Rhinolophus ferrumequinum: one gene and its partners. The protein of the gene in region 1 interacts with the protein of each later gene in a biochemical or structural test. Links are inferred from orthologs where the notes say so. Each region holds a gene or a part of one and is shown on either strand. Other genes may lie near its edges.

Region 1 (8,218 bases):
TTCCTGCAGGCCCCACAGACGTGGGTCTGGCGGGGGTGGGGAGATGGGTGTTTGCTTCAGTTTCCCCCAAAACTGGTCTGCAGCAGAGGTAACAGGCTTAGTACCAGGCTCTTAACCAGCACTGATTCAGAACCTGACACTGCAAATGCTCCAGCATTCAAAATTTCTTGGAGAAGACACAAGAGGCTTCCTGCAGGCCCCACAGACGTGGGTCTGGCGGGGGTGGGGAGATGGGTGTTTGCTTCAGTTTCCCCCAAAACTGGTCTGCAACAGAATACTCCTTAAAGGATTTGTGGAGCCATTCAGAAAGACAGAAAGATTTCGCACAAAAGGAAGCTGATGAGCAGAAGTGGCCAAACTGGACGGAAGTGTGGGGTCAAAGCATTGCTTCGTTCAACCCCACCTGGACTCACTGGCGTAAGATTTGCAAGCGTGCAGTATTTACACACAGACTGTGACCATTTAGAGAAAGAAGCACAGAGCGCGTACACCTTTTCATCACCGTTATCATAACCATCTTCATATACGCCACAGCCAATTATCATCACACGCCCTCACATCTTGTCAACGGGCATAAGCTGGTGCGTTCCAAAGTGTGACAGGCATTGCCTGGTGCCCATCCGTCACCCTGGAGTCAGAACCCCTATCTTTCTATCTTTTCGCCATTCAACAGTGCCTTCCATCTCAAATGCCCCCACGTGCAGTTGGCTACGACACTGGCGAAATGAAATGTTATCCAGAAAAACAATTCCAGAGGACGTAAGACATAGATCATTCCGCTCCATGTCGCGGCAGCACGGTACTCTCCAGCTAAAAACAAACGACTGGACATCTCTGTTTAAAAGTCCCGCCCACACCAGAGTTTTTGTAGAGGACGCTCTTCCCTTTGCCACTGTGGAAACCAGATTCACATTTGCAAACAGAATGGATATTCTGAAATGCTCCTTTAAAATGGTGGGAAAGTTCAACCAACTGCTCAGGCCCTTCCCAGGCTGTCTCTTCTTAGGAAGATGAATTTTTAACCCTGGCCCCAGTTCACCGTCTGCCTCAGATGTGAATCTCTAGAGTGCAAAAGTTACCTGGATTGTATTTCCCGGTGTTCTCTCTTCACAAACTCTGTATTGGGGAATGCCTTTTGAGAAGCAGCATGCTGATGATGAAAAAGAATAAAACCTAGTAACTGACGGACTTTGTGATCAATTCCTGCATATACCTGAAGGCTCCTCAAAAGTAAGTCCCACATCTTAGTTTGTAAATTTGACATCAAGAAAACGGATTTCCTTATCTTTCTTTCCCAGTTAGGTATCATTAAGAATTCATGTACTCAACATAGCTGCTGAGAACTATTCCGTAGCAGGTAGTGCAGGGGACTGAGTAATGAATTAAATACACAAAAGCCCTGCCCCCATACAACTTACATTCTAGTGTGGGGAGAGGTGATATATATGAAAATTAAGTCCGATATGTAGTATTAGATATTGATAAGTGCTCTGGAGAAAAGCAGGCTGGGGGTACTACTGTTAGTGCTGACTTTTTTTTCCCTATCCACCGTCAATCTGAAAAGTCATCTTCAAATGTCACTACTTCTGGCTTCACAATGATGACATATTCTTCATATATTTGCTAACATCTTCTTCCATGGACATTTCTTAATTCAGTTACTGCCAACTTTTACCAGTCTAGTCTTCGATGTGGTCACTTGCTGTCCATCAAATTATATTGCCTTTTGCAGAATAAATGTCTTTGTTTAAACAAATGGGGAGGCAGGGAGGAGGACTCTGGTAGTCACTAAGCACCCATTACTCAGCCAGGCACCGGGGCATGCACTTTGTATCCACTCTCTCCGTTCATCTGTGACCCCAGGAGGCAGATAAATAGCACTGTGCTCATTTTACAGAGGAAGAAACAGATACTCCCGTTCACTTGCTTAAGGTCACACAGTAAGTGCCAAGTTGAAATTGGAACTTCGCAGCCCATATTCTTTTGGTCTTACCTCCAAAATTCTCCACTGTTGGGATTCTTTTTTCCTTTAACTCCTCTTTTTCTTGACTGCTCAATCTTGATAGTCCTTGGATAATTCTTTCATTTTTGTCTTATACAGCAGAAATTACTTTTCTCAAACGCCTAAAAGCAGCCTCACTGCCTTCTCCATCACCTTAAAATTAAATTAGACTACCGTTCAATTGAATTGAATGAAACCTCTACGAACTACATTGGCCCTCAATTTTAAAATGGAAACGATCGTTGAATATCAAGATTCCTGGCCTCCTTTTCCCATGGTCACCATCGCTTTACCTGACTATTCCTTTTGTGATAGAACCTTACACCTAAGTCTCCAGTCGAGGGAAGCCTGGGAAGCCACTGGGATTCCATATGACACACTTAGATGCTAATAATATGCAATACAATTGGGCAGAAAATCAACTGTGTGAACCAGCTCTGGGTAAGTCCTGGACATTTTCCTTTAAGGGCATCCTTTTCCCGTTCCCCCAGTAACAGTTTCCAGGGCGGGGGACCCGGAGCCCATGCAGGTGAAATACAGTCCCGATGCCATTGTAACGTCGTAACGCGCCCCTCGCCGTGGGCGCGGCCCGTCCTTCACTGTGCACCCGCGGCAGGAGGGGCCTGGGGGACAACGGGAAACGCGCACGGTGCTCAGAAATGGCTCGCCGTCCCCGCGAAAGCCCGGGGCGGGCGCCCGGCTCCCCGCGGCCCCTCCCTCCCTCCATCCCTCCAGGGAGCGCGCAGCTCGCTCGCTCTGCGTGTCCCCGGGCACAGCCGGGGGTCGCGGCGACGCTCGGCCCCGGGCCCCGACATGGCTGCGGCGCCCCGCGATCTCCGCGCCCGGCGCCCCGGCCCGGCCCCCGGCGCGCCCGCGCCCGCCGCTCCCTCACCACAGCTTCCGCTTGAGCGGCAGGAGGCTGCCGCGGTTGGAGGGGGTGACGCCGATGGCCATCTGCAGCACCGTCAGGTATTTCTGGTACTTCATCTTGTCCCCGCTCCGCTCGCGGGCAGGGCCCCGCCGCCGCCGCCGCCGCCGCAGGCACAGCCTCTCCAAGCGCCGCATAGATCAGCTCTGGGCCATGCGCTCCCGCCGCCGCCGCCGTGCGTGGCCCGGGCTCCCGCTCCCGCCGCCGCCGCCGTGCGTGCCGGCCGCTCCCGCCGCCGCCGCCGCCGTGCGTGGCCCGCCGCTCCCGCCGCCCGCACCGCCCCCTCCATCCCCGCCAGCCGCGGCCCCCGCGGGGCGCACCCGGCGGGCGGCGCAGCCGCCCGACTTTCCCGGCGCCCAATCCCGCGGCGGGCAGGCCGGGCCGCTCCGCCCACCCACCCCCTCGCGCCGCCCGGCCCCGCCGACCTCAGTTTCCTCCCCGGTGACGGGAGCGCATTGACGGGATCCGCTTATACCAGGATCGCAACCACAGGTTTCCAGAGCAGAAAAAAATAATTTTTTACATTTATAATTACCACTGAATGGTTCCTAACCATCATTTGTTTTCTAGCCTAATGTGTTTGGAGATGATGTGTATATAAAATGCATTCTGGTGTGCACACATAATATATAATGTGTGTATATGCGTGTATACATTCATACACATATACACACATGCATACACATATACACATACACACATACACATACACACATATACACATACACATATACACATACGTATACATATACACATATATACCCACATGTATACACACATACACATGTATGTACACACATATATACACGTGTGTGTACATATCTATGATATATAGAGTGCCAAAAAATGTGTACACAATTTAAGAAAGGAAAACTTATTAAAATTGTAATGCTCAATATATACCGATAACAAAAGATGAATACAAGGCACGTTTGACTTCTGCAATGACAAGAGGTGCTCAAAGTGGTTCCCATCAGCGTCCAGACACTTCGGATGATGGTGAACTACCACTTAAGCAACGTTGCCAAAGTGTCCCCTTATATACATTTTTTGGCACCCCTGGTATATATATATCATATATATGTGTGTGTGTATATATATACATATATATAAATATATATGTGTGTGTGTGTGATGCAGTCCTCATTTGCACAGTAGTTTGGGACTGTGGAAATGACCACGAACCATGCAAATAATCAATGGGGAAAAATAAGATTGTTCCGTGACCTTCAAAAAATTTTGTCAAAACATTCCAAACTTTCTTCATTGATGGTTATAAATGTATAGGGAAATGAAAAACATTGTAAAACTAATCACTGAATACAATGTAATTTAAAACATTGAGAATTCAAGTGTTTCATTTCTTTGTAAGGAAAACTTGTCAAGAGTAACTGGAACAGTGTGTGTTTTCTCCTGGTAGAATTGTTACATCTCCAGATAGCATCCTTTCTGTGCCTTGGCAAAGCAAAGTTTGGATCACTGTCAACATTTAACCCCTGCTCTTTCACTATTGTGAATTGTGATGTCTTCTGGGACTCCCTCATCATTTTTGTCACAACCACTTTCCTCACTCAAGTTCACATTCAGTCAGTTCCTCTGACTGCATGTCCACTCTCTGGAAACGTCATGGTAATGTCAACGTTCCCAGTTGCCAATTTTTTTAATAACTCCAATTACATTTCATTCCAATTTCACTGCATTTCCATCTTTATCATTTTTTGTTTGTTTGTTTCTTTGCTGCACTTTCCACCTTTGGTGGCCAGTTTCCTCTTTTAGTTACCTATATAAAAATACAGTGTTTTGTGGGTTTATCCCAGAGAGAGAAAGAGGCAGCACAACTGCACACTTTGCTATCAGTGCCTAAACTAAATAACAGATGCTCAGAGACGAATCACGGACCGGCTTTGAAAGAACTGCTGTGATTGGCCACTGGTCATGATGTGCATGTTATTTATGTAGTGATTTATGGACTAAAGAGCTAGCAGCATGTTCGTACTATATGCATTTGTACTGTATGCATTTACTTACAGGTAATGCCATGATAACTGCAATTTAAATCACATTGTTGGGCAACAGTTATTATTTAACTAAACCATGGTAGCGTACCATCAGGCCTATCTGAACCTGTAAAGCAAAGCCTAATTTTTTATACAGTATCTCCCTTATCTATGGGGGATGTGTTTCAAGACCCCCAGTGGATGCCTGAAATCCCAGATAGTACCAAATCCTATATATACGGGTTTTTTTCTCTACATACCTACCTATGATAAGGTTTAATTTATAAAATTAGGCAATTCCACGGATAGAAGATTCGTTCTTACTATAGATCTTAGCAACCTCAGACTGAAAAGGAGAAATCAGGAAGGCCTGTGTCTTGAGTTGAGATGCTAAGCTTTCTTCTCCCACCCACTTCCAGAATGCTGGCAACCCCAGGCAAGACATTTATATGTCCTCCCTGTGGACCATCAACATTTTTGGTTAACTCCACATATTTATTTATTGTGACTATTTAAACATTGTTTGATACTGACACTAGTGTTGTACCACGATTACACTTTCTCCTACAACTTTTTCTTTTACCTGGAGTTAATTGCCTTATTTTTCAACTTGTTTAATTTTATTAATATCCATGGCTAAGTGTCCTTATGTCTGCAACAATAATGTGAAATGCCTTGCAATATAGTTTCCCATGGACTCAGACTACACACGATCCATCAGTTTCCATTTTTTCCTGGACCCGCCCTCCAGGAGCCCTCCATCCTGCTGCCTCTATTCTAGGCTCACGTTGTCTGAGTATTCTCATTTCTCTCCTATGTTGGGGCCCCTGTATTCTGGACCGCCTAGCTTCTTTCTTGGCTTACTTCCTTGTTTTGATGGATAATCTTTTCTAATAATAAGAATACATGAGACCTAGAGATTATAAGACCTTGCATATCTGAAAAGTCATGATTTTGCCATCATCTTGATTTATTGCTTCTTGAGTATGGAAGTCTAGGTTGCAACTCATTTGACTCAATTTCTAGGTCACTGCTCCTTTGTCTTCTAGTTTCCAAGGTTGCCAATGAGAAACCCAGTGCCCTCTGTGTCCTGAGAGCATTGTTTGCTTGTTGGCGTCCCCCACTCTGGAAGCTTTCAGATCTTCTATTCATCGCCACTGTTCTAACGTCTCACGATGACAAATTGTTATGAAAATGGGAATGTCATGTAGTAGAAGGACGCAGAGGTTCTGGGGAGCCGTGCACGTACCCTTTTCACTTCCTGCATTGGTGGATTTGATGAGAGGCAGGGCCATGAATTCTGGCTCTTGTCAGTTCCAATGTTACATTGTTCAGCTCCCACTGACTGGAAGTAACAGCTGTCATGTTGCTTTAATAGTTTCCTTCCACTAACCTGAGATGAGGAATTTCTTCGCTGGGAAGGCTCTTTGGCAAAACTGATGACATTCTTCAGTTTTGGCCTTTAGTGGTTCTTACATTTGGCTGAATTATGTAAAAAATAGAAAGAAGGAATTATCAGTTATAATTTTCTCCCTCTCAAGGAAACGTACTATTTTCTTCTCTTCTATAGATTGTGATCACTTGTTTTCAAGTTTGCTTAGTTTAAAACCTGCACACCTGACCTTCTTCAGGAAGCTCTCCTAAGACGACGTCTTGTCACCCCGTCCTCTGATCCTTTTCAATTTTTATCTTGCATTACTATTGTAGGTGGTAGACAGTGGCTTGTCTGATCCAGTTTCTTACATACAGTAGCTACTTAGTAAATGTTTGCCTTATGAGTGAACCGATCTTCGATTTATTATGTAATAAACATCCAGAATTTTAGGATGTGTCAATGAGAAATGATGTTGGTGCCGTATCAAGAGCCTGTTATAATGGCTTAATGAAACGATATTTTTTTCCTCTCATGTAGGAAAAAAAGGCGTTCGTCTGCCAGTCTGGGGTTGGTAAGGTGGTTCCACAAAGTCATGAGAGGTCCAGGCACTTTTTAATTTCCGCTCTGCATTCTTTAGCATGTTGTTTCCATCATCAGGGTCACAGCATGGCTGCCAGAGCTCTAGCCAGCTTGTCCACATTTTAGGAAAATAGAAAGGGCAAGACCAAGGGGCCAACAGGCTCCTCTCTCATCCAAGTCAGCCCCCTTTAAAGAGTCTCAGGAAACACCAACCAGAGTTCTACTTAAAGTCACTGACGACCCGCTTCACTGCAAGGAGGCTGGTAAGACAAATTTTTTTTTTTTAGCTTAGCACACTGTGTCTCTGGACAAAAGTTGAGTTCTGTTACTAAGGAAAAAAGGAGAGAAGATATTGGGTAAGCAGCCTGCAATCTTTGCCATAAAGAGTCCTAATCATCCATTAGTAAGTATGATCTTTTTTTTTTTTTTTTTACAAGCGCTAATTGTTTCTTCGAGATTTTAAAATGTCTCTTCAAAGTCTACAGGTAAATGATTGAAATTGGTCCAGACTCCGGTGTTCACATCCAGGGTTTTACTGTAATACAATCGACTCGCTCCTCTCCCGCACCAAATGAAGCTCATTTGTTTTTCCTGTATCTCTAAGTAGGTATGACACCATCTGGTACTTTCTACTGTTGACCCAGAGCCACAGCTGGTACCATCTGACTAATCAGGAAGTGGGAAGGGACAGCGTCAGAAATGAGTGAGTGGTACAAATCGCTTGGTAATTAGAAACCCCTTGGTGATAACATTTGCTCCCTGCACAAGAAAATATCCATTGCAGGACATTGACAAAAATCTTGTCAAAAATCTTGTCTCATCATCAGGAATTAGAATCTCAGAGTGTGAGTCTAATTGTCGGAATGGTGCTATGGCTGATACGAAGTATTAAGTTTCAAAAAGACAACCAGAGAGGCGGTGGAAGAAACATGCATTGTGGGCTCACTCTTAGCCTACCCTGTCATATATGTTAAATTCCTCCTAAAAATAACTTGGGTGACTCTTCAAAGTCTACAGGTGAGTTATGGAAATGGATCCAGAGGTACAAGTGACTAAAGATAATAATTGATTTATTTACTCACCCGTTCTATCCATTCAATAATTACTGAATACATATTATTAGGTTGGTGCAAAAGTAATTGTGGTTTAAAAGGTTAAAAATAATTGTAAAAGCCGCAATTACTTTTGCACCAGCCTAATATTAATAGTTACCAAGCATTGTGTTAGCTGCTAGAGCTTTAAATGAGAATTGTTTTCAAATGCAGACATTTCAGAGGTAAAGATATCTTGGTGGTTATAATGGACAGCAGGAAACTGAGAAGAGTAATCTGACTAAT
Region 2 (7,519 bases), on another chromosome or scaffold:
ATACTTTGGATGGAATTGAAATTGTCTCAGCCACAGTAAAACCACAATGCACAGTGCGACATTTGTTTCTCCAGGAACTTTCTGTTACATTTTCATAAACTGCTTCGCAAGAAGTACCTAAAAAAACCCCTGCTGTATCTCATTTCCTATGTTGGTTCAAGCACACCGTATCCCTTTAGGTACTTATGGAATTATGCTTTTCACAGCTGACACTATTTAGAGCAGGGGAACAAGGGCTCTTAACATGTCTAGCGCTAAAACCTTGATAAATCCCTGTGTCTCGACCCTAAGGTGCCAAGTGGGTTCCACTGGCAAAGAGAATAAGGTTCAATTTCAGGAAACTTCTCACCAAGCTTTTCACCTAAAAGCACTTCGAGGAACGCAACCTTTTACAAGGAACACGACTTAAATATACAGATAATCCTGTGCACCTCTAGAGGTCACGGAGCTATACCAAATCAGCCAGTGAATCACCACCCCAGGTCTCTCCCTCAGGTGGGTGTGAGCACCACTAGCCAGGTGGAAAAACAGAGACAGGTTCTATGGCCCCATCCAAAGGCATCCAGTGAGTCACTGGCAGGTTGGGGAGAGTACTTGTGAGTCAAGGCTCCTTCTTCTGGGAATCAGTTCTGTGAGGAGGCCTCAGCCCCACCTTGAGTAATCTCTGGGTTTAACCGAAAAGAAAAGCATCTGATCTGGAGTTTAAAAAATATATATTCATCAGGCAGAAATCTCAAAAATGTGTACGGGGAGAAGAGGAGGATATCGTTTAAGTCTCCCACCGCAACTTCGAAGACTACAACAGCTATATTAACTAGGAACAAATGAAAATAAAACACTTGAACACATTATCATATGTAGAGGTGACCTGAGTATTTACAACATGATGCAATCTGATTCCATGCGTCAACTAAGGAAGTTAAAAGGACACATATTTAAACATGTTGAAAATGAACTATTTTGATCAGAAGAATCAGAGAGCTCTCTAGAATTGCCCTTAGAACCTTGTCCATCTGCCAGTTCCTCGAAATGACACCCAAAATGCCTAAAACCATTTCTTTATATGTATTAATCTCCATTGAGATTAATACATATATGAATTCAATCTCCATTGAATCTCTGTGGAGATTCAATGATTACATAAAGGAGAATACCTAATACACTCCTTATATTTGGTGTAAAGGAATCCTAATATGCGGATTTTGAACAGCGAAAACGACAGTACTCAAAACTACCACGCACATTGACTGACCAAATTCCACAGGTGGTCAAGGGGTTTAAGCAGATTCAGAACAGATTTAATAACCCTAAAGTATATGGCTTTTGACAAACCACATGTGGGAGGTGAACAAAGCATGTGAAATAAACTGGAGAGATGACAACACTGTTCACCCTCAGCCCATAAAGGGCCCGGTGGGCTGGCTTGTTTGTCTAGGCAAAGACTAAGGAATCTTCTCTTAAGTTAGTTCAAGGGCATAACAGACACATGCTGCATGACAACCAGTGTAATATCTCCAGGAAGATACTCCAGCCATGAATTGTTATTACCTATGAAAGTGGGAATTTAAGAAGTTTCTGATAAGGCACTCAAAAGCTTTTATTTAAAAACATGTTAAAAAGGGGGGAAAAATCCATCCTGTCATTCTTTTCCCCACTATCTTTAGGAATATTGCTGTCTACATAATCCTTTCTAACTTGAAAGAAGCAAACATCCCTTATGTAGAAAATCCTTTGTGGGAGGTGGAAACTTGGGGAAGACCCACCCTCTCTCTCTCACTAACTTCCTCCCCAGAGCTGACCTCTGCTTTCATTAGCTGTGTCTACTTTGTGGCATTTTTCTTACCTCTTTTTTTCCCTTCACACTATGATGGGAGGTTATGTAGAACTTTTTCTTTTCTTGTCCCTTTTTGCCACCTACTACCAACCTTCACTTTCCAAAATAACACTAAACAATCTGCCTCCTCTGAAGACCCCTGGCTTGAAAAGTAAAACCTTCAGAGGACATCTCAAGAGGCTTCTTCAAGGAGTCATGCAAGGGGTGCAAAGGGGACTCCCCAAACTTGCTGCGTCTTAAAAATCAGAAGATTCAAACTTAAATGTAAGTAGATGCCAATGTAGGAATGCGACTTTTTCTTTGAAAAGTCATAGTAAAGATAGCCTGGGGGAGGGGAGGAGAAAAGCTTATCTAATACTTTGAGATTATCTATTTAATTTTACAAACTTAAGAAGCTATCAGGCTCCAAACGTTTCAAGGCATACTATTTTCTTGTCCAAACACTACCATTCTTCAACTTACACAGAATCAGACTGAGAATGTCCAAGAGAGGCCTAAGAACTCAAGTTTGAATTTGACCTTCACCTCTGGATCTCCACCCTGCTCTCATCAAAATTTAAGATGAAACCACACCAAGAAGGGAGAAAAAGTGTTACCCGGGGAATTAGAGGCAAAACTAGAGCTTTGTTCTGGGCTTCCCTTTTCCCAAACCAAGGTTCTCTCCGTTTCCTCAAGACAAAGCACATGATCTGAAGACTTGATCGGCTGAATACTGATAACCATGTAATCACAGAACGGAATTGGAGGCTGGATGCCACTACCCCAAAACGGAACCACTGGGGGATTGGGATCTCCAGGTCACAGCTGTAGAGGTGGGGAATGCACTCACTGTTTAGATTCAGCAAGGAGTCGAAGACTTTGCACTGGATTTGCCCTGTGCTCTGTGACACGCAGGACATCCACAGCCCCTCGTAGATGGACTGGGCCGTCACGATGTTGTCGCCCGCATAGGAGTGAGTCTTCCATTGGGGCATCGCCGTACTGATGATGGCTCCCATCCAGCCCAGGAAGGCCAGGATGAAGCCCAGCAGTTGCAGCCCCGCGTTGGCCATAGCTCACTCGGGCGCCTGGGCTCGCTCAGTGGTGGCAGGTGCAACGCGCGGAGATTGCGGGGGCGCACCCGGGGCTCCTGGGGGTGGCGGAGCCGCGTGGAGGAAGTTGTTGCTGGGAGCTTTGCTCCTTGCGCCGCCGCTGGAGAGGATCTAGATCGGGGTCCGGATTGGCGCTGGAGTCCGAGTGCGAGAAGCTGCCGCTGCTCCCAAGCTCTGTGACTGAAACGCCAACCTGCAGGGCGCCGCAATTTAAAGCAGCTCCGCCCCTCGCCCGGGCCGGCCGCCGCGCAGCACCCCCTGGCGGTTTCAGGGCGGCTCGCGGGGGGAGCGGGAGGGAGCGCTCCGGCCCTTGTTGGCCCCCGCGCCCTTGGCCGGGAGGTCCCAGCGCGAGGTGGGGGCCACCTGAGAAGGATCAGGTACTAAAGTGTTCCGGCGCTCGCTCCCTCTCGTGTCTCCCTTCGCTCTTGTTTCCTCTAGTGTGCCTTCTCAGATGTTCCATTCATTCGATCTTTATTTCCCCCCAATGTACTATTATGTGTAAACATTAACAATGCATGAAGATGAAAAAGGGAACCCTCCAGGGACCCACAGTTGCACGGTCCACTTTTTCTCACTATGTTCTTAACAGGCATTTCCTATCTGTCTCCACCACCTCCTCCCTCCCTTCACACACAATTCTCTCTCTGTTGTTCAGCTTCGTCCCTGTTCTCCTTTCCTTCTCCCCTTCAAGGTCTCTTCTAGAATCCGGTATTTCTGCAAGGGTGGTAAGAAATCAGTATACTTTACAGATTAGGAAACTGAGACCCAAAAAGGAAATATGATTTCCGTAAGATCACACAGCAAGCGAGTAGCACACCCAGTACAATGTTCCCAGCCCGCTCTTCTTTCTACTACATTTCGACTTAACCGAAATATATGTCCTTTAAGCAATTATCATCGCTACGAAAATGCAACCTCCCCTCCCCCCAGCCCTCCCCCGCCACACGCACCCCAGCCTCTTCCCCTCAGTACTTTGTGTTACAGCAGCGATTCATTATCAGAGGGAGGAGGACAGTGCGTCCCCCAACCCTCAATGGGTGTTTCATTAATGAATTACCAGATGCTAGTCATCAAAGGCAAGGGTATCTAAAACGCCTGAACCCAGGAGAAAGAGGACTGGGCCAGGATTGGGGAAGTCCTGGTTCTGCCTCTGGGTTTTGCCGTGACTGGCTATGGCCACACCCTCAGGTCTTTATCTAGTCGAGCCTTTTGTTTCACTCTATGGGTCTCTAAAGCTTCCTTCTCTGTAGTTAAATGGCGCTGTGGTTTGCAATAATTAAAATGTTTTCCCAACTGCTTTTTGTGTGTGGTGGGAGGAGAAGCTTCTATGGTTTTGGTCAAAACAGAAGCACCTCAGAGGCAGAAATAAACACGGTAAGGAGAAAAAAGATCTGCCCCAGTATTCACTAGGGGAGCTGCCGGTTTGTGTCAAGGAGGGAACAGTAAACAAGTTCTCAGAGTATGAATGAGAAGAATGAAAAAACTCTACCCCTTGGGGGATGTTGATAATGAGGGTGGCGATGCATATGTGGGGGGCAGAGAATCTATATGGGGATCTCTGTATCTGCTGCTCAGTTTTGTTCATCTAAAACTTTCCTTTAAAAAGTCTATTAAAAAAGGGAAAACAAAGCAAAAACCCCAAACCCCTCACTTCCACCCAACTCTTCAGATACCTTTTGAAGGTCTACATCCGAAGGACAAATCTCTGCAGAAAAATTTGGGGACTAGCAATGAAGAGGGTAACACACAAGCTGGATGGAGAGCTTTAGTTGGGAGTAAGCAAGTTTGAAACAAGTCGGTGATGTCCTGAAAGCCTCCCTAGGCCCCAGGAAGGCCCTAAGTCAGCTCTGTAGGGCAGAGTGAGTCCCACATCAGGGTGAGTCCCCTGAGTCTGGGCCTGCAGTCAGCAATTCCTTTTAGGGCCTGATGGATGTTCTGTGGGCACCTGTGAGTGTGGATGACGAGGTATCAATCATATTTGCTTTATGTATTCCCCAGGGTCACTTAGCTCAGAGGAGTTTCCCAGAATTTGCTGTAGGTCTAGTTCATTACCATGTCAATCACATAATCTTATCTGTTTTGTTCCAGTCAATTCAGAATTAAAACTATTAAATTTTTTTTTCTTAGTTGCTCAGATTGGATCCATGAGGATGAGATTTGAGTTCAATTAATGTACTTGTGCACAAGCCTTTTTCATCTACATTAGGACCTGCTTCTATCAACCTACAGTTGGGGGAAATTGGGAGGGATGAATCCTGTGGTCAGTATGGCCCCGTGTTTTTGTTGTTTTTTTTCTTTCCAGGTCTCTGTGAGGCTGATGACTTCATTGCCCACAGCCGTGTTTATGAGGTTGCGGTGGGTACTGTTTACTCTGCTGTGATCCCATCTCTGGCATCCCTAATCCTGTCTAGTTCTCTGTGTTTTCCTAGGAGCAGATAGGTGAGATAATGGCCCAGCATAAATCCATCAAGGAAATCCATCCTCTCCATGAAGAGGAAAAACAACTTATGTACAGACATCTGGCCTTTCATATATGAAGCATGAATAATAGGGGCAGCACTGGGACCAAGAAGTTTCTAGAAAGGCTGACTATGAGGTGGCAAATGTCCTGGCCTGTTGAGTAGGAAAATCTGCTATGTACTCTCAGACAAATTGCTTCCTTTCTCTTTCTCAGTTTCCTTATCAATAAAAATTAGGAATCAGCTTCTAAAAGCTCACCCCAGCCTAAAGCTTTAGGATGCAAGGTAATAATAGCCGATCCTTGTGGGTAACATACTGTCATCACAGTGTTGAGCTAAGAGTTTTCTAGGCACCATCCTGTATGTGAAGGTGACAGAGACACAGAGAGGTCAAATCACTTACCCAGGATCATATTTGGTAATTGGCAGCCCTGGGATTCCAAACTATACACTTTGACCCTGGTGCTCAGACCTATAAGCATTGCTCTATAGTAGTTCCCTGTGTGAACCAAATCAATGGAGGACCATTGGCTTTCAGGGCTTACACATCGTGATCATGTGTTTCTCCCTCCAGGAAGTGGTAAGATGTTCCGCTCTGTGACTGCCCTACTGCTTCTTCCTGTCTCTTCTCAATTTCTGCTGCTGCCCACTAAGATTCTACACCCAGAGGATCCGGAATCGTGTCGGGGAGTGTTCTTTTGAGAGGGAAGTATAGGTGAGAACAGCACCATAGCCCACTGATTTACCCCGTGTACATATGTGACCGGTGCTTGGGCTCAGCCATGATCGTGAGAACCAGGAGAAAGTGGAAGAGATACATAGAGAGATGAAAGTGCAGGTGAGACTCGAGTTGAGAGAAGAGAGTGTAGACAAAGAGACACAATCCCAAGAGCCAGCATGACAGATTCTCAGAAATGGTTGAAGATGAGAGTAAGAAAGCCTTTGGGATATGAATTTTTCACTCAGTGACTGTGCATGTTAACACTGACTTTTCAGGGCTTCCCAGGTGGTAAAAGCAGAATGGATGGACGCATTTTTTAAGTAAACCATGGGCTATATGATTATATAGGGCTTGAGAGAGGGATCAGAGCACAGATGTGAAATTTTAACATGGATTTCAGTATTAGAATGTGAAGGTTACTAACACTAAAAACCATTGGTGCATGCCCCTGCTTTGAATCTCTTTGGAGTTTTTTGAATCTCTTTGGAGTTTTTGAGGGGGTAATAAGGAGTAAGTGGTTAAAAGCACTAACTTTTTGAACCCCAGGAGTATTACTTCCTAGTAGAATAACCTTGGAAAATTTGTACAGCATACTTGTACCCTAGATGTTTCCTCTTTCAAGGGAGTAAAACTCTACTTCATAGTGTTATGATCATTAAGCCCGTTGAATGAACATCACTTAGAATAGTAGTTGGTACGTAGCAAGCACATGAAATGGTAATTATTATTTTATCAAGCAGAACAGATGCATTTAATTTGCTAACCCCACCATTTACAAATGATCCTCGCATATGTTCAAAAGCACTCTTTTTCTTGACTTGATTCTATTAGAATTCCATTTAATGCCATAGTTAAATCACAGTGACAGGATATGCAGTGTTTAGAAGGCAGATACAATTCTGTATTCAGAAATCGAAAAGGCAGAAATCGAAAAGAGAGTGAGGGGGGTTTTACTGAGATTTGTGGGCCCCTTCTCCAGGCCCTGGACAGCTTTCCCCTCTGAGTCCTGTGTATTAGCCACAGTGAAGGCTAAAGGCCAAGAGGCCCTTTCTGAGATGGGGTGGACCAAGAGCAGAGGGAAGATGGAGAATATAGTATCGAAGATCCTCTCAGCATATCAGGGAGGCTCTTCAGTTAAAAAGTTTTCCGAAGCCTCTGCCTTGTTATCAGGTGGGCATAAAGTCTTTTTTAGACCCTCCTGTCAGCTCCTAGCCTAGCAGATCTATTCCTCCCTTGCTTTCTGAAGAAAAAGAGTAGAATTTCAGCCATAAAGTCTACTTTTTAAGTATAAAAATCCACTTTGAAACAAGTTGGTGAAGAACTGTTCCCTTACTTTATCCTTTTGTGTTCTGTTTGTGTATCCTTTTAATCATTAAGATGCTAGAAACACCCCACAAATTTGATCATCGGAATC
Region 3 (7,517 bases), on another chromosome or scaffold:
CTCAGCTGACTCCTGTGTCCCCAGGGCCTGGCACATAGTAGATCAATATTTGTTAAAGGTTGGATCCTAGACCAGGGCAGAATCACACAGAAGATTTGCCAGCGGATCCCTCAGAGTCCTTTCTCATTTGCCCCAGTAACGAGACCTTCTCCTGGCCTGGACTCCCTGCCCTAGTCAGTCATAATTTTGGAACCAGATGTGCCTAGACTGCCAGCTCTCCAAAGTCACATGATTTATTCATGCTGCAGCTCTCCCCTGTCAGTACGTCTACTGCTCTCCCAGATCCAGGTCACGACGTTCCCAGGCTCCGCTCCGCACAGTGCCCGGCCTCCTGCTCCCCCAAGAGCACCAAGCTGGTCAGGGGCAGCCAGGAATGCACCCCCAGGTCCCAGTGACTCCCTAACCTCCACCACCTCCAGTCCCAGGACATGTGGGTCAGGGGCCGGGAGGACTGAAGGAATCTTTGGGGTGGGTCAGAAAGCAGGGCTCTAAATGATTCAACATGGAAAACCCGAAACCCATCCGCCTTCAGTTACAGAGAACGGCGGGGCGGGGCCAGGAAGCAGGCAGCTCCAAGGTCTTGCCTAAGGCCCAGAGGCAGGTAAACAGTGATCCAGCGCCAGGCAACATGGAGTCCAGAGCCTTCGCTCTCACCAGATGTCTGACCCTGCTTTTCCCTCCCCTGGCATGTGCCCAAGCCGCTCCTCACCAACGGGACAACGGGAAGAGCCCAGGCCACAAGTGAATTCAGCTTCATCTGTCGGCCTCTGCCAGTCCTGCCTACAAGCTGGGGGAGGACACTGCACCTGTACCAGCCACTTCTCCCTGAGTTACTCATTAGCCTGCCCTGCCCCAATTCCATCACCTCTGGCCCAGCCATAGCGTCTGGCTTCCAACTAGGAGTGACAGGGTCCCTGGACTCCTGGCAGGAAGTGGGGGTGGGGTGGTTTCGGTGTGTGGAGGAAGAACTGATACACATACACAGGGCCGGGCAATATGCTAGATGCTACGCACCTGGCAGATTTAGAAAATGGGAGAACTGGAGGTCGAGATGAGACTCCCCTCAGAGGTAACAAGAAAAGCACATGGTCAAAATAGAAAAGGACAGCTCAGCGACCTTGATCATTTGGCTCCTATTTTCTCAATAGAATTACAGAGATAAGAAGGTCCCCCATGGATCCAGAAAGAACCCCCCAAGTGGAGTGCTGGCTCGGTCCACTGAAAAAGCCGAAACCTGAGAGCCAGGCTAGAGCTGCCTGGCCAGTGGCGGAAGAAAACACAATCAGGAACTGGGCCCCAGCAAACTGGCTGGACTGGTTTGAGAGGCAAGGGGAGGGCCAGGGAGACTCCACTGGCTGCTTGCAAAGCAGACACGAGAAATTCCACACCAGAGGAGGCAGAGGGGCAAAACCATGGGCAGGGCCTCTGTCCAGCCTAGAAGCCAAAGCCAAGGCTCTGAAGGAGGAGGCACAAGACAGAGAGGGAGCCGGCGGGAGAAGATGCACAAAAACAATGAGTGACAGGCCGTGTGTGACAGGAAGCCTTGGTCTCCCTCTGCCCCTCCCTCCCAAAGATGCATTCCTGATCCCACACTAACTTTGGCCACCTCCCTGGTCCTTCGTTTTCCCCTGTTTTCCCCTTCCCCACTCATAGAGAAGCAGCCCTACCTCCCTCCTGACCTCCCACAGAGGTGAAGGCATGCAGTTCAGCCTGGAGAAGGCAGGAAGGGTTCTAGGAAGCCAGAATCCTCTTAGGGTCAGGCAAATCTCTGGCTTAGCAGTCCCCTAGCGCCAGCCCCCCACTCCCAAATATCCAGGATGAAAGAAGAGGTGCAAAAGCACCTGCAGGCAGCCTGTCTACAACATAGCGGTTACTAATTATTTCCCAATTACAACCACTTTCCTCAGGCAGGGCATCAAAGGGGCTGAGCTAAGGCTGGCTCTGGTTCCCTTACCTGCCTAGGGCAAGGGAATCTCTGTCACAAGTCTTGTCGGGGCCCCAGTGTGCACCTCCCATCTAGCTGGAGACTTGGAGGTGGTAACTCCTCTAGTTTTGTGGTCTCCTGAGGAGTCCTGCCTATGTCCTGCACCACTTGTGTCCACTGCCTGTCTGTCATGGTCCCGGAGTCAGGGATGCCTGGTGGCGTTTTAGGGAATAATGGGGATCTTCGAAGAGGCTTCAAGGAAATTGGTTAGGCTCCCAAACCTCACCCAATGGCTCCATCTCGAACCACAGAAGAAAGTACGGTGTGTTTGGGGGGGAGGGTTTGACACGAGCCCCCAGAAAGAGGCTTCATTAGAAAGACACAGTTCTAGATATTTTGTAGGCCTAGGGATCTTTGCTTCCTCATATCTCTCCCTGGGAGAGTACTGTTTCAAGAGGAAGAAGGAAACATTTTCCCTGGCATGCAAGCCTTAAACAGTTTCACACCGAGCAAAGAGACTGCCCTACCCTCTTGTTCGGCCCCTCAGCGTCTCTTATTTGCAACTGTCGTCACCTGTAGGTGAATGGTTAGAGAAAGATTCCACACCTCAGATCCATCTCAAAGCCAGGAGGGAGGTTGTCAGCACCAGCTAGACTGGCAGTCAGGGGGCAGAACCTCAAGGAACAACAGCTCTCCACGCCCTCCCCCTTATGCCTCTGAACCTGGCAGCAGTTCCCTTCGACCAACTGAGACGAACTCCTTCCCCCCAGCACCCCAGTCTCCTAGAGAAATTCTGCCCCTGGGACCGGCCTCTGACCCCAAGAGAGATCCTGGCCCTGACCCGCTTTCATGCCCTGGGAATAGCCTTAGTCTCAGGTGCCCGTCACCTGGCACCTAGGAGTGAGAGTCAGCTCTTAATCAGTACTCCCGCCCTACCTTCACCTCTCGTCTTCTCCCTGATGCAGCACCTGTGCCCTGGAGGGAGGTATCTCGGATCGCCTCGACCCCCGCCCCTCAGGGGTTACACCTGAGGGCCCGCTTGCCTCTCAGGTGTCCTTGCCCCGGTTCGGTTCACTCACCCCAGCCGGGCTCGGCGCTCCCGAGCTCGGGTTCGGGTTCGGGCTCCGGCTCTGGCAGAGCTGCATGCGCGGCTCCCAGGCCCTCCCCCTCCGTCCCTCCGCACTCCCTCCTTCTTTCTCCCCCTCCCACCAACCTGTTACTCCCCTCTGGAGCTCCACCCCCATTGGCCGTCACCACCCGCCCCGCCTTAGCCTTCTTCTGGTTGGTCCGTTTCCCGCGAGGGGCGGGGCCGCCACCGCGGGGACAGGGACCCGGGGTCGCCAGCCGGGGTGGGCGGGAGGTGCAGGCCGGGTCACGTGGGCCGGCGGGCGATGGAGCGCCTGGGCGGGGCGGCGAGGGGCAGCAGGAGGCCATTTTGGGGGCCACGCGAGACGCCCCCCCTCCCCGGCCCCGGGAGCCGCCCGCCAGAGCATCCTCTGGCCTCAGCTGGAAAATAGCCCGCCCCCCCCCTCCGCCACCTCCGGTGTTCTCAACCCGAATCTCTGTCCAGAGCCCTTTCAGCCCTCACCTACCTCCGCATACAGCGGATTACTCTCCCGTCACTTCTGCAGAAAACATCTGTCTCCCGATGTCAGAGCCTCCTCCACCTCAGTTCGTCTCCTTTTCGCCCAACCTGAGCCAGAATCCCAATTTAGGATTCTCTTCCCCATCCCCTGGCCTCCACAAATCATTTTCTAGCCTGGTACCCTTTTCACCGTAGTAATCACCTTCCAAATTACGTAATTTAATCTTAAAAAATCATATTCATCGTTTGTCTCTCGTCCTACCGTAAGCTCCGCCAGGGCAAGGATCTCTCCGGTTTTGTTCCTTGATCTATAGCAAACGCCTAAAACAGGGACTGGCACGTCCTGGGCGCTTAGTAGGTGTAGAATGAATGAATGAATGGGATGAAGTTTATGCTGAAGGGGGATGTGGTTTGACATCGAATAGGAGTGAGCCTCATTCTGAACGGAAGGGGACTCAAGCCCAAATTGTAAACGCACTTTCTAAAAAGTGGGGAAATCGATCCCAGTCTCCAGAAGAGTAAGATCAGGCCGGGGCTCAGCAAACATGAGGCTCCTACTCTAGCTGTGGTTCAACAGCACGGCTGTTAAAGCTGGCTCCCTAGATCGTAACCGTTGAGACAGGGGGAAAAGCAGATTGATTTAGCTTATGTCGCCGGGCCCTGGATGTTGTTCTCAATTATTTATTCAACAGATATTTACTGTGGACCTATTCAGGGTTGAAGAGGAATCTTAAATGCAGCTGACAGTCGGGTTCGTTCGCGGGAGCTATTTCCTTACCCTCCCCCCCAGCCTTCAGTGGCTAGGTGTGGGTCCTGGAGGGTAAAGTCCGCCTACTAGCTTCTTGGCTCCGATGCAAAGTCTCTGCATTCCAAGGGAAGCACTAATGTCAGGGTTAGAGTCCTCAAACCAGCCAATGTCCTGGGGAGGAACTGCAACAAAAGGTGTGGGGGTGGGGATCGGAAGATGGGTAGGCCTCCAGCACTGTGTTACCTCCAGACCGCGGGGGTGGGGTTTCTTAAGAGGTTTTTTTTTTTTTTTTTTTTTTTTGGAAATGTGAGATTGTTGAGTTGACCCAGATATTGGAAAAGTGGAAACGCCTCAACTCTCCTGGGTAACACCTTAATAATTAGGATACTTAGCGCATTTGTAGTAAATGCAGAGTAAGGGTGGTGCAGGAGACACCCCACCCCAGCACGCTGAACATAGACAACAAAGAAAATCCAGGAGGCCTCTGCCATCACGGTCCTGTCATCTGTTCCTCAAGGAAACAGCCTCATTCAGAAGGACACCATCAGGCACAGGTGGCAAAGGTGACACCACGGTCTTTCCCCAGAGTGCGTGGTCCCCGTCCTTAAGAAATGCTACAATTTGGCAAAAATCGGCCAGTTTATAAATATGGCAATGGTACAAAATTAGAGCAAATAGCATATCCAGAAAGAAGAAACGAATAACATGGATATAAATTCAAGAGGGTAATTTTACTTTTGGGAAATAATGGAATGGAGAAAGGTCTAGGCTAACTGGAGATTTCATCAAAGAAGTGAATTTGGAGCCCAATTTCTGTTTTAAATTCTTTCCTCACGTCTTTCCTGCGTTCTCCAAGACTATCACGAGGTCCACTGACAACTCTACTGAAACTTATCTCAAAGATCACCTGTTAAGCTGGGACCAGTTCCTACATGGAGCAGCAGGGAAGGCTACACAGGAAGAGTCATTAAAGATAGATGACCGAAAGGTGGTGATGTCGTTGGCTGAGACTGAAAGGACAGGAGACAGAAGGGTTTGGAGAGGACCCAGGAAAGGAAGCGTATAATAAACCAACTTTGGAATTTGCTATCTTGGAGAAGTAGGCAGGACACACACACAGTCTAAGAAATGAAGTTTAGAAGAGAATTTAGGGGTTGAGACGAATCTAAGTATTCTCCTCATAGATGTGAAAGTTTGCAAAGTGGACCGAAGAAAAAACCTTGAGAAATATGGAACAGATGGGGGTCGGGGGAAGTGATGGAGCATTCAGGGGCATAGGTGGGAAAGACCGTGGAAAAGAGATGTTCCAATAGGAAAAGAGACTGGACTTGGGCACTGTGGGGACAGAACCAGGAGTGCAGTTTCCAGGCTCTCAGCCTCACGTGGAAAGGTGCTGGCTCAGGTAGTAAATGGCCATCAACTGTGATGGCATGGCCATCAGCTGTGGCTAGTTGGCCATCAGCTGTAACCAGTGACCTATTGGCCACTGATATAACTGCTGTGGCTATGCTAGCAGAAAAATGGAGGCTAACAAGAGGATGGTGGCTGAGCTAGCAAGCGCGGATTGCAGAGAGGTGGATGCCGCCAGTGAGAATATAGTTGTATGACTCCCCCATCTATGGCTCCCTGGGTGTTCCTTTTTGGCCTCACCATATCCTGCATTCTTATGTGGGGAGCGGGACCAGAGACCCCGCAGGCTGCCCCGCACGACAGGCACTTAAAAGTTGATCTTCCAGATGTCAGTTCAGCTGTGCTGCAGACCCTCTGCTCAGACTGCGATAACAAGTATATCAGGAAAAGAGGAGGAGAAAGGGTACCTTGACTTAAGAAAAACAGGGTGGAAGAAAGAGGAAGTTTTATGTTTGTTTTGTTTTGCTTTTAGGATGGAGAGAGTTGGTTATATTTTGAGACTAACCCCGAAGAGTGACCGAGAGTCAAGAAATGAAAGGGTCACCTGAAATTAATATAATATTTTATGTCAACGATAATTGAAAAATACATTTTAAAAATTAATAATAATAATAATAATAATAAAAGGGAGAGAGAGAACAGCCAAAGCCTGGACCTACAGGGAAAGGTAAAATCTGTGTTCTAGAACTTAAATTGGGAGACCGGGCATGAAGGAGTTACGAGAGTTGCGGAAGTTGAGTCAGACAACTTGAGGTCGTAGGACTCCTGAACCTGCCAAAGAAAGGAGTGCTTCTGAGGGCTGGAGACATCGGAGACAAGTTTTGGAACTGTTGGAATCATCTGTAAACCTAACAAAGGATGTGATAGGTGCCAAATGAGTGGCACGAATGAAAAGCTCCCAGAAAGTCTCCTTTTCAACTAGAATTAGGGTGGTATCCAATCTGGGCCTTGAAAGGAAACGAGTAGTTGAAAGCAAAGGAAGAATAAAGGCAAGGAAACGTGCAAAAGGTTCTTTTGCCCACATGTCATGGGGTAGGAAAGTGTCATGTTTGTTGTGGGGACTGGAAGGCGCTCCCAGAGGTTGGGCAAACAGACAGGGGAGTAGTGGGAAATGAGACAGAAAGGTAGCATCTGGGATCGATTATGCAAGGCCTTGAACATCAGACTGGGGGCTTTTTGGGTAGATAATGGAGAGCCATCGAAGGTTTTTGAGCAAGAAGGTGGCAGTGCTTCCGAAGGTTAACCTAGGTCAGTATAACCCATGCAGTGACAAAGTGAGGTAGTGAGCGCCACACAGAGTGGGGCAAAGGGAGGGAAAAGAAAGGGACCACTCCCCGCCATGTCCTTCTAGTAAATTACTCATCATTTCTTTCTCAAGCTTTGTTTACAAACACTTTGCTCTTCAACAGAAATAATAATATATAATTATACTATCGCTTGGGGCTTTTCCTGGTTGACTAAAATTTCTGTTATGCGTGTTGTTAGAGAAGATAAGAAGTGGTCACTTGATGACTCACCTGAAATACTTCATATGTTCACTTGCTATACGCACTCGATCCTGGGTTCAGGATCTCCAAGAGTGCCCAAAAGATATTTCGTTCTTTCTGACCCTTATTCTTTTCCTCAGTTTGACTAGGGAGGTGGAGCCACAGAGATTCTACGAGTGGACAACACTGATTGAGAGCACTGAGTCAGGAGTCAAGAGACCGATACAATTCTAACCAAGTCTCCTAATATCCTTGGAATTCAGTTTCCTCTGAGAAATTAAGAAGATGATCCTGAATTCCATAATTGCATTGTTTCCTTTGGGCTTCTTGCGGGAGAGGTGGGGGCGGGGGGAGTCATGTTCT
Region 4 (7,873 bases), on another chromosome or scaffold:
AAAGTTTATTGGGGTGACAATTGTTAGTAAAGTTACATAGATTTCAGGTGTACAATTCTGTAACACTTCATCTATATATCACTTTGTGTGTTCACTACCCAGAGACACCACCCACTCTTTCCATCACCATATATTTGATAGCTTTAGCATATTCTTATCAAAAGGAAGAAACCAAGGCTAATTGTTTTCAAGATAGACAGTATGGTGTAGTGGGAAAAGAACCTGGACTTTGGAGTCAGAAAAGAATTTGATTTTGCTTCTGTACTTTCTAGCTGTGTGGCCTTGGGAGAGTCACTTCCATTCTTTACACTTTAGTTTTCTCATCTGTAAAATGGAGATGATACCAGCCTCTCAGTGTGGTCGTGGCCAATAGTAAGTCCTTAACAAATGGTTAACTGTATTCAAAGCATATTGGTGACCTAAAGGGTAGTGTCAACGTCACATCAAAATCTGTGTGTCTCAGTTCTGCCTGGAACATGTTGAGGAAGTTCCCTAACTTCTCCAAGCCCTAGTTTGCTCATCTCTAAGGTTTTGAGTCTCAAATAAGGTAATGGGGACAGGAGCCACTCTGATAAATATATAAGATGCAACAGCTATTATTAGAAGCAGGCAGCTCTGAAAGAAATTCATCTCTTTGAGGGATCCTCCTAGAAGTCAAGCCCTGGCTGCTCTGGAGGAACAGAGAACTCTAGGTCTTGCCAGTTGAATTTGTCTTCTGGGCATGGGACCAACACACTCCATGGTCCAAGAGCTGGGCAAGAAAGCTTCATTTAGGATCCTTAACTAATCTTCCTTAGAGGGGAGATTAGAACTGCAGGAGACGATTAGGGGGATAAAGACTGACAGGAGCTTCTGAATTAACCCCTTCTTGCCCTGCTAGTCCCCCTGATTTTTTGGTTTGAGAGTCTTGTGCACAGACCCCTTCTTTGGGAGCACCCTCATAAGACTGAGTGGGGCAAGACAGGTGGGGTTCACACACTCAAGGAAGGACCTCATGTGGTGTCCTGGGGGTGATGGGGGCCACCACAGCTCTCTTCTGCCAGTCAGCTTCATTTCTCCATGTGTTGACCTTCCAGCCCCTCACAGGAGTCTGAGACCCAGCCTCTGAGGGTTCCAGTAAGTGGCAAAGCCATTCCTTTGAAGCCCCACTTTCTGGAAAGTTTGTCCTTGGAGCAGTTCACCTTTCCTTCGCATCAGTTGATTGATAACAGCTTGGGGAACTGCAACTGGATTGAGAGATTTTTCTAATTGCTTTTAAAAAGAAGTTTATTTTTGTCCTGAACATCAAAGTAAATCACTCTCATTTTAGAAAGCTAGAAAATGCAGAAAGGCAGCCTTTAGAAAACAGACATTACCTACAATCTCCCCAACTAAAATGCTGTTAATGTTTTGGTTCCAACTCTGTTTCAAAGAGGACACTTCAAGAGAATAATGTCTCAGTCCAAAGAAGGAATTTCTTTTGTTTTTATTGATATATAATTGGCATATAACATTGCATTAGTTTTAGGTGTACAACACAATGATTTGACATATGTATATATTGTGAAATGATCACAATAATAAGTCTAGTTAACATCCATCACCATATAATCACAAGTTTTTCCTTTTTTCTTGTGATGAGAACTTTTAAGATCTACTATCTTGGCGACTTTCAAATATACAATACAGTATTATTAACTAAAGTCACCATGCTGTATATTACATCCCCAGGATTTATTTATCTTGTAACTGGAAGTTTGTACCTTTTGACCCCCTTCACCCGTTTCATCAACCCATCCCCACCCCACCCCTGCAGCTGGCAACCAACAATCTGTTCTCTGTATCTATGAGCTCAGATTTGTTTCATATTCCACATATAAGTGAGATTATATAGTATTTGTCTTTTTCTGTCTGACTCATTTCACTTGGCATAATGCCCTCAAGGTTCATCCAAATTGTTAAAAATGGCAGGATTTCCTTAAAAGGGGAATTTCTAATGACAGACATGCAGACTAGTGGAGGAGTTATTTAAGGGCTTGAAGGGGAGACTTCCTGACTTCACTCAAAAATCCTCCTTCTTAGATGGTAGGTGGGGTTTTGACAAGGGGGAAGGTGAGGGAATTAGAAAGCACAATCGGTAACCACAAGATGGCCACGGGGATACGAAAGTCAATTTGGGGAAGGTACTCAATAATGTTGTAAAGATTTGGTAGGGTATCTGATGGACACTTGTCTCATTAGGGAGACCACTTCAGGGAAGAGTTAGATGCCTGATCACTGCACTGTACACCTGAAGCTGAAGCTGAACAATAATGAATGTCAGCTACAATTTTATAAGTGTATATATATATATATATATATATATATATATATATATATATATTCACAAGAAGCGGAGTACAGCATAAGGAATAAAGACAGTGGCAATGTAACGGCTGTGTGCGATGTCAGAGGGGTAGTAGACTGGGGGATGGGGGGTTATCACATTGTGAGGGGTATAAATGATGAATGTCTAACTATTACAGTGTTTTGTAGACATGAAACTAATAAATAAAAAATGAATTGAAAACAAAATCCTCCTTCTGCTGACTCCCTGAGCCTTCATGCTAAGGAAGGCACTGGAGCTGGCTGTGAGGAAACACCCCTTCTGATCATCCTTAGGCCCCTTAGTTAGAGGAGTAAACTGTAGTTCCTTTCCTCCCATCCTTTTTATCTCAGTCCTTTTGCCCTCAAAAGCTCCATTCAGAGATTGTGATCTGATTTGGAGAATGCTTCCTCTGGTCCTGTAGTTTCAAAGACTAGAAACTTTGTGGTAGCCTTGAAGAAACAAATACTACCGACCTACCTGAATTTTGCCTCCAGTGTCCTTCCCTCAGAACCCCAAGGTGGCCCAGCCTGGCTGGACCGTGGGCCAAATTGACAGCAACTAGGAAGCAAGAGCCCACCTAAGTGAGTTTAAAAGGCAGCAAATAAATCAGAATTGAGACACTTACAAAGCAGTTCCTTTGGAGAGCCTTGGAGGAGACGTATGGCCCTGGAGAAGATACTGAGGGAGGGGAACAAGGTGCAAGGTGCTAATATTCCAGGCTGAGGTGATAAAGGATTTCTAATTGTTTGCAGCAGCTTTGCAAAATCCATCTGCAAATCTCAGCCTCAAGTCAGAGACTTATTACAGATCAGAATTAAACCCCTGGAGACTGTGGAAGATTGAGGTACTTAAAAAAAGTTTGGCAAAGTTTGTGTTTTTCCTGTCAAAAACTCCAGCTGGGCTTTTGTGTGGTGACCTCTGTGAGCCCAGGAGAGGACTTGGGGGAGAGCAGTTTGGCCCGAGGAGGAATTCGGAACATTTCAGCTTTGGGAATAGGGAGAGGAGGGAGGTCTCTTATGCCCATGAGGTGTTCCTGGCTAGCAGCCTTCCAGCCCAGCAGGAAGTAAGCCTCATAAACACAGCCCAGTGAGCTGGTGCCCAAGCAGCCCTGCACTGCCTACAGCCGGGCAGACTGTTCCACCCATGTTTGTTCTCCAGCAAAGCCCCCAGCCCTATCCCACTCTTAAGGCTGACCCCAAGGTACAAGGGCAAATGTGAATTACAGGTTCAGACTCTGTTGGGTTCAAAGAGCAGGTCCCTACAAGGTCGGACTGCGATGTCCATAGTAACCATAGGCCTCCCCTTTGTACCACACACAGGGATACCTGTGTCATTTCAGTCTCCCACGAGGTCTGTGGAGTAGAGTACAGAGACTGGGTTTCCTCTCCAAGTGGAAAAAAAAAAAGCTTTCCTTTTTTACTGATTAAAAAAAAAAAAAAAAAAAAAAAAAAAAAAAAAAAAAAAAACTAGATGCTATTGCAAAGAATTCAGAAAATAAGAAGAAAATAGAGGTCTTGATAATACTACCAGCAAGAGGTGTAATGTTAATCATTGTTAATATTTTGATGTACTGTAGAGACATGAGTAGAAATATTTTTACAAAATTGAATCACATTATATCCTGCATATTTCCATGTCAATTAAAAAAATGAATCTGGATCATCTCTTATGACTGCACTGTATTCTATTATATAGAAATATAATCTATTAAACCAATAACTAATAGACATTTTTGTTATTTCCATTTTTTTCATCATTATAACTTAGAATCTTTACACACAATATGGATAATTCCTAGGAATAGAATAGCAGGGGCAAAGAGTATGCATACTTTAAAGGCTAAAACAACATATTAGAAAAGTAGGGCAGCTATTACTATTTCCAGATGAGAAAGCCTAGGCCCAGTGAAATGAAATAAGTGAGTTACTCAGCATCCCCAGCTGGGCAGTAATAGTGAGACCTGGAATCTAGGTCTTCAGATGTCGGGTTGAATAAACTTTCCAGTGTACCTTGCTGACTCCCTCCCAAGGATTCCTATGTAAAAATGATAAGACTAGTGGCCACTATTCATTGGACACTTTCTAGGTGCCAGGCAGTGTGCTGAGGGTTTTCTATACATTGTCTCACTGAGATGCTTCAGAGCCAGGCCTAGGCACCAAACCTGGCCATCTCTGAAGCTTGGTTCTTAATCATTATGCTCTACTCCATTTTTGAAGTAATATCAAAGCAAACAGGCAGAACGTTGCCTAATGTGAATTCAATGAAGCAAATAAAAAATCATTGTCCTTTCCAACGTGGCCCATAACTGTTTTTCAGGTGAGAATTGGGTACTGACCCCTGACAGTGCTCCCAGGGTGCTTACACTTGGCAAGCTGGGACAAGCTAAAAGGGAAGCCATGTCTGAGTTCAGACTTGGGGATTCTTTAGGCATGAAAACAAGCAAGATTGAAGGAGTGGGAAGCATAGCAGGCTAACCCTCTAACCAGCTGTGCGAACTGGGGCAATTCTTCACATCTTCTGTCTCCGGGCTTCATCCAGCTGACTTCCCACAGCTGGGCTAATGAATATGACAACATTTTCACAAGTAAAAAATGCTGGCTGAGTGCAAAATAGAATTATCAGCTCACAGTGACTCTGCAATTTAGAATAGGAAAAGGCAGAATCTTAGGAGCAGGTGCCAGGACGGATGAGGGTACTTCGTTGGCAGGATGTGGTTACCAGACTGGCAGTCACTCAAAGACTAGGTTCTAACACGGTGTTTCCTACAGGTTGGCACTGTCAGATCCTGGTGGAATCATGCCAAAGACTATGACTCCTCAGTGTTGAACCTGGGAAGCTCCTTAGTAAACTGCTGAGACCCTTGCCAACATCCAGAGAGCCTGGATAGGTGGGGGAATGGAGAGGGGTCTGAAAGAAGGGAGGAAAGGACAGCAGTCTGAGAAAAGCAATATCTGGTTAAGGAGAGGAGTGAGCAGTGAGAGAATAAAGGGAGGAAAATGAGGGTCTGGGAAGAGATGGGTTAGGGAAGAGAGCAGGAGAGGCCTTTGAGGAAGAAAATCTAAGAGAAGTCTAAATAAAGCAAGATCTTGAGGGAGAGGGAGGAGATGGTACTATGAAAAGAGTTTAGAAAGAGAAATAAAAGAGATTCTAGGGGCAAAGGAGCAGGGGTGAGAGGGCTATGGGAGAAGGAGTTAGGGTCTAGGGCAGAGAGAGGATTAGAGGTATGAGTATTCCATCGCCACCAAGAAGTTCTCGTCAAAGTCACAAATGACACCCATGACACAAAATCCAGTGGCTGCTTTTCAGTCCTTAACTTCCTTGACCTCTCTCTGTTGCAGTGTTCAATGCCCTCGATAACTTTGCCCTTCTTGAAATGTTTTCTTCTCTTGACCTCTGTGATACCACTCTCCCCTCATGGTCCTCCTATCTCTCTGGATATTTTTTCATTTGCCGACTCCTCCTCAGCCAGATCCTTAAGTATAGGTGTTTCTCAGGAGCCCGACCTAGGTCTTCTTCCCTTCTTACTCTGCATCCCCACTCTCGGAAGTCTCATTTATCTCTCATGGTTTCAATTACCCTGTATATTCTGATGACTTCCAAATTGTCATTTTCAGCCCAGACTGCTCTGAAATTCACTGCCCTTATATACTGACATCTCCATTTGGATAAATCAAAAGCATCTCAGACTCAACATGTCCAAAATTATATCGTTGATTCCTTTGCAACTAAGACCAATCCTTCTTCAGTCTTCTTCATTTGCAAAAACCAGTTGTTTAAACCAGAAACCTCAGAGTTAGACTTAATTTCACTCCTTTCTCTTTCTTTGGCCCTCCACTCCCCATCTCATTTGATGTGTAAATCTTTACAATCCTACCTCCAAAATAAAGCTCTTTCATCCATCTAATAATTTCCCATGTAAACATGATACCTCCATTACCATCATCTCTCAAAATTTGTGGTATCAGGACCAATTTACACTTTTAAAAGTTATTTAGGAAACAGGCCAATGTCCTTCAACTAGTGAATGGATAAAATATAGCACATCTGCCCAATGGAACACTACTCAGCAATGAAGAGGAATGGACTATTGATGCAGATGACTACATAGATGAAGCTCAAATGTATTATGCAGAGTGAAAGAAGCCAGATTTAAAAGGCTGTCTACTGTGTGATTCCAATTACATGACATCCTTGAAATGCCAAAACTATAGGGATGGAGAACAGACGAGTGGTTGCCAGGGGTTGGGGATGGTAGAAGGAGTTAACTACAGTGGTTTGGCACAGTGAATTATTTTGGGTGTTGAGACTGTCATGTTTGGTGCATAACTCTACTATTTGTCAAAATTCATGGAACTGTACATCCAAAAGAATGAATTTTATGTGCTTTTCCACATTTCATCACACAATATTAAAATGACATGTATGTATATTTAAAAATAAATAAATAAAAGGTATTCATCAAAAATGATTAAAGATTCTGAAGGGCTTTCATTTTTATGGGTTATGTCTATTGACATTTACCATACTAGAAATGAAAACTGATAAATTAAAAACTATTTTTTAAATTTAAATCACAATGAAAAACACATTGCATGTTAAAATAAATAACATAATTATGAAAAAAAATACCTTTTCCAAAACAAACAAAAAATTATCAAGAAAAGTGGCATTGTATTGCATTTTTGCCAATCTCTGGATATCTGGCTGAATAAAAGGCAGCCAAATTCTCATATCTGCTCTTGCATTCAATCTGTTACCATATGTTGTTTTGGTTAAAGTATATGAAGAAAATCCAGCCTCACAAAGAAATGTTGTTGAAGAAGGGGTTATTTAATAGCTGTTTTGGCAGAATTCTAAGAATGACCCCAAATGACCCTCACCTGTGTACAATAAATTTCTCCTTTGAGAGTGGGTGTTTATGATGTTTATCGGGGTACCCCCATGATTATGTTACTTAATTGACAAAGAAAAATTACCCAGGTGGACCTAATGTACCCATGTGAGTCTACAAAGCTGAGTGCTTTCTCTGTCTAGTGGCAGAAAAGGAAGTCAGAGAGATCCGAAGTCTGAGAAGTACTTGACTTGTCATTGATGAATCAAAAAGGGAAGGGGCCACATGAGAAGGGATGTGGGCAGCCTCTAGGAGCACAGAGTGGCGTTTGGATGACAGCCAGCAAGGCAACGGGGAGCTCAGGCCTACCACTTGCAGAATCTGGACTTTTTTTTTTTCTTTTTTTTTTTAACATTCTGAGTGAGCTCGGATAAGATCCCAGTTCAGCCAACAACTTGACTTCAGCCTTGTGAGACCCTCAGCAGTGAACTCAGGTGAACCCACCTGGACTTCTGATCTACAGAACTGTAAAATAATAAATGGGTATTGTGTTAAAGTTGTTAAGTTTGTGGTAATGTCTTATGGCAGCAATAGAAAACTAATACATTGTGGATATTCTTCTTCGGTACTACACCTAAACTTCACAAGTCGTAGTTTCTTAATGATCATTTGCAATGTTGAATCTGAAACCCTAT

What was found. The genes of interacting proteins can lie anywhere in the genome.
Region 2: the proteins of TJP1 (region 1) and CLDN1 form a complex in vitro, tested with the Homo sapiens proteins (2 studies listed by BioGRID and IntAct, with this or other methods). The link is inferred for Rhinolophus ferrumequinum from reciprocal best matches to the Homo sapiens genes TJP1 and CLDN1.
Region 3: the proteins of TJP1 (region 1) and CGN form a complex in vitro, tested with the Homo sapiens proteins (2 studies listed by BioGRID and IntAct, with this or other methods). The link is inferred for Rhinolophus ferrumequinum from reciprocal best matches to the Homo sapiens genes TJP1 and CGN.
Region 4: the proteins of TJP1 (region 1) and CLDN2 form a complex in vitro, tested with the Homo sapiens proteins (2 studies listed by BioGRID and IntAct, with this or other methods). The link is inferred for Rhinolophus ferrumequinum from reciprocal best matches to the Homo sapiens genes TJP1 and CLDN2.

Annotation. Positions count from the first base shown.
Region 1 is NC_046311.1:13,163,313-13,171,530, reverse strand, and holds the start of TJP1 (tight junction protein ZO-1), read right to left. Parts: upstream 3,107-8,218; 5' UTR 3,068-3,106; coding exon 2,895-3,067; intron 1-2,894. UniProt on the Homo sapiens protein: TJP1, TJP2, and TJP3 are closely related scaffolding proteins that link tight junction (TJ) transmembrane proteins such as claudins, junctional adhesion molecules, and occludin to the actin cytoskeleton.
Region 2 is NC_046285.1:55,914,359-55,921,877, reverse strand, and holds the start of CLDN1 (claudin-1), read right to left. Parts: upstream 3,109-7,519; 5' UTR 2,887-3,108; coding exon 2,664-2,886; intron 1-2,663.
Region 3 is NC_046305.1:51,461,211-51,468,727, reverse strand, and holds the start of CGN (cingulin), read right to left. Parts: upstream 3,109-7,517; 5' UTR 3,004-3,108; intron 1-3,003. UniProt on the Homo sapiens protein: Probably plays a role in the formation and regulation of the tight junction (TJ) paracellular permeability barrier.
Region 4 is NC_046284.1:47,705,504-47,713,376, forward strand, and holds the start of CLDN2 (claudin-2), read right to left. Parts: upstream 3,109-7,873; 5' UTR 2,973-3,108; intron 1-2,972. UniProt on the Homo sapiens protein: Forms paracellular channels: polymerizes in tight junction strands with cation- and water-selective channels through the strands, conveying epithelial permeability in a process known as paracellular tight junction permeability.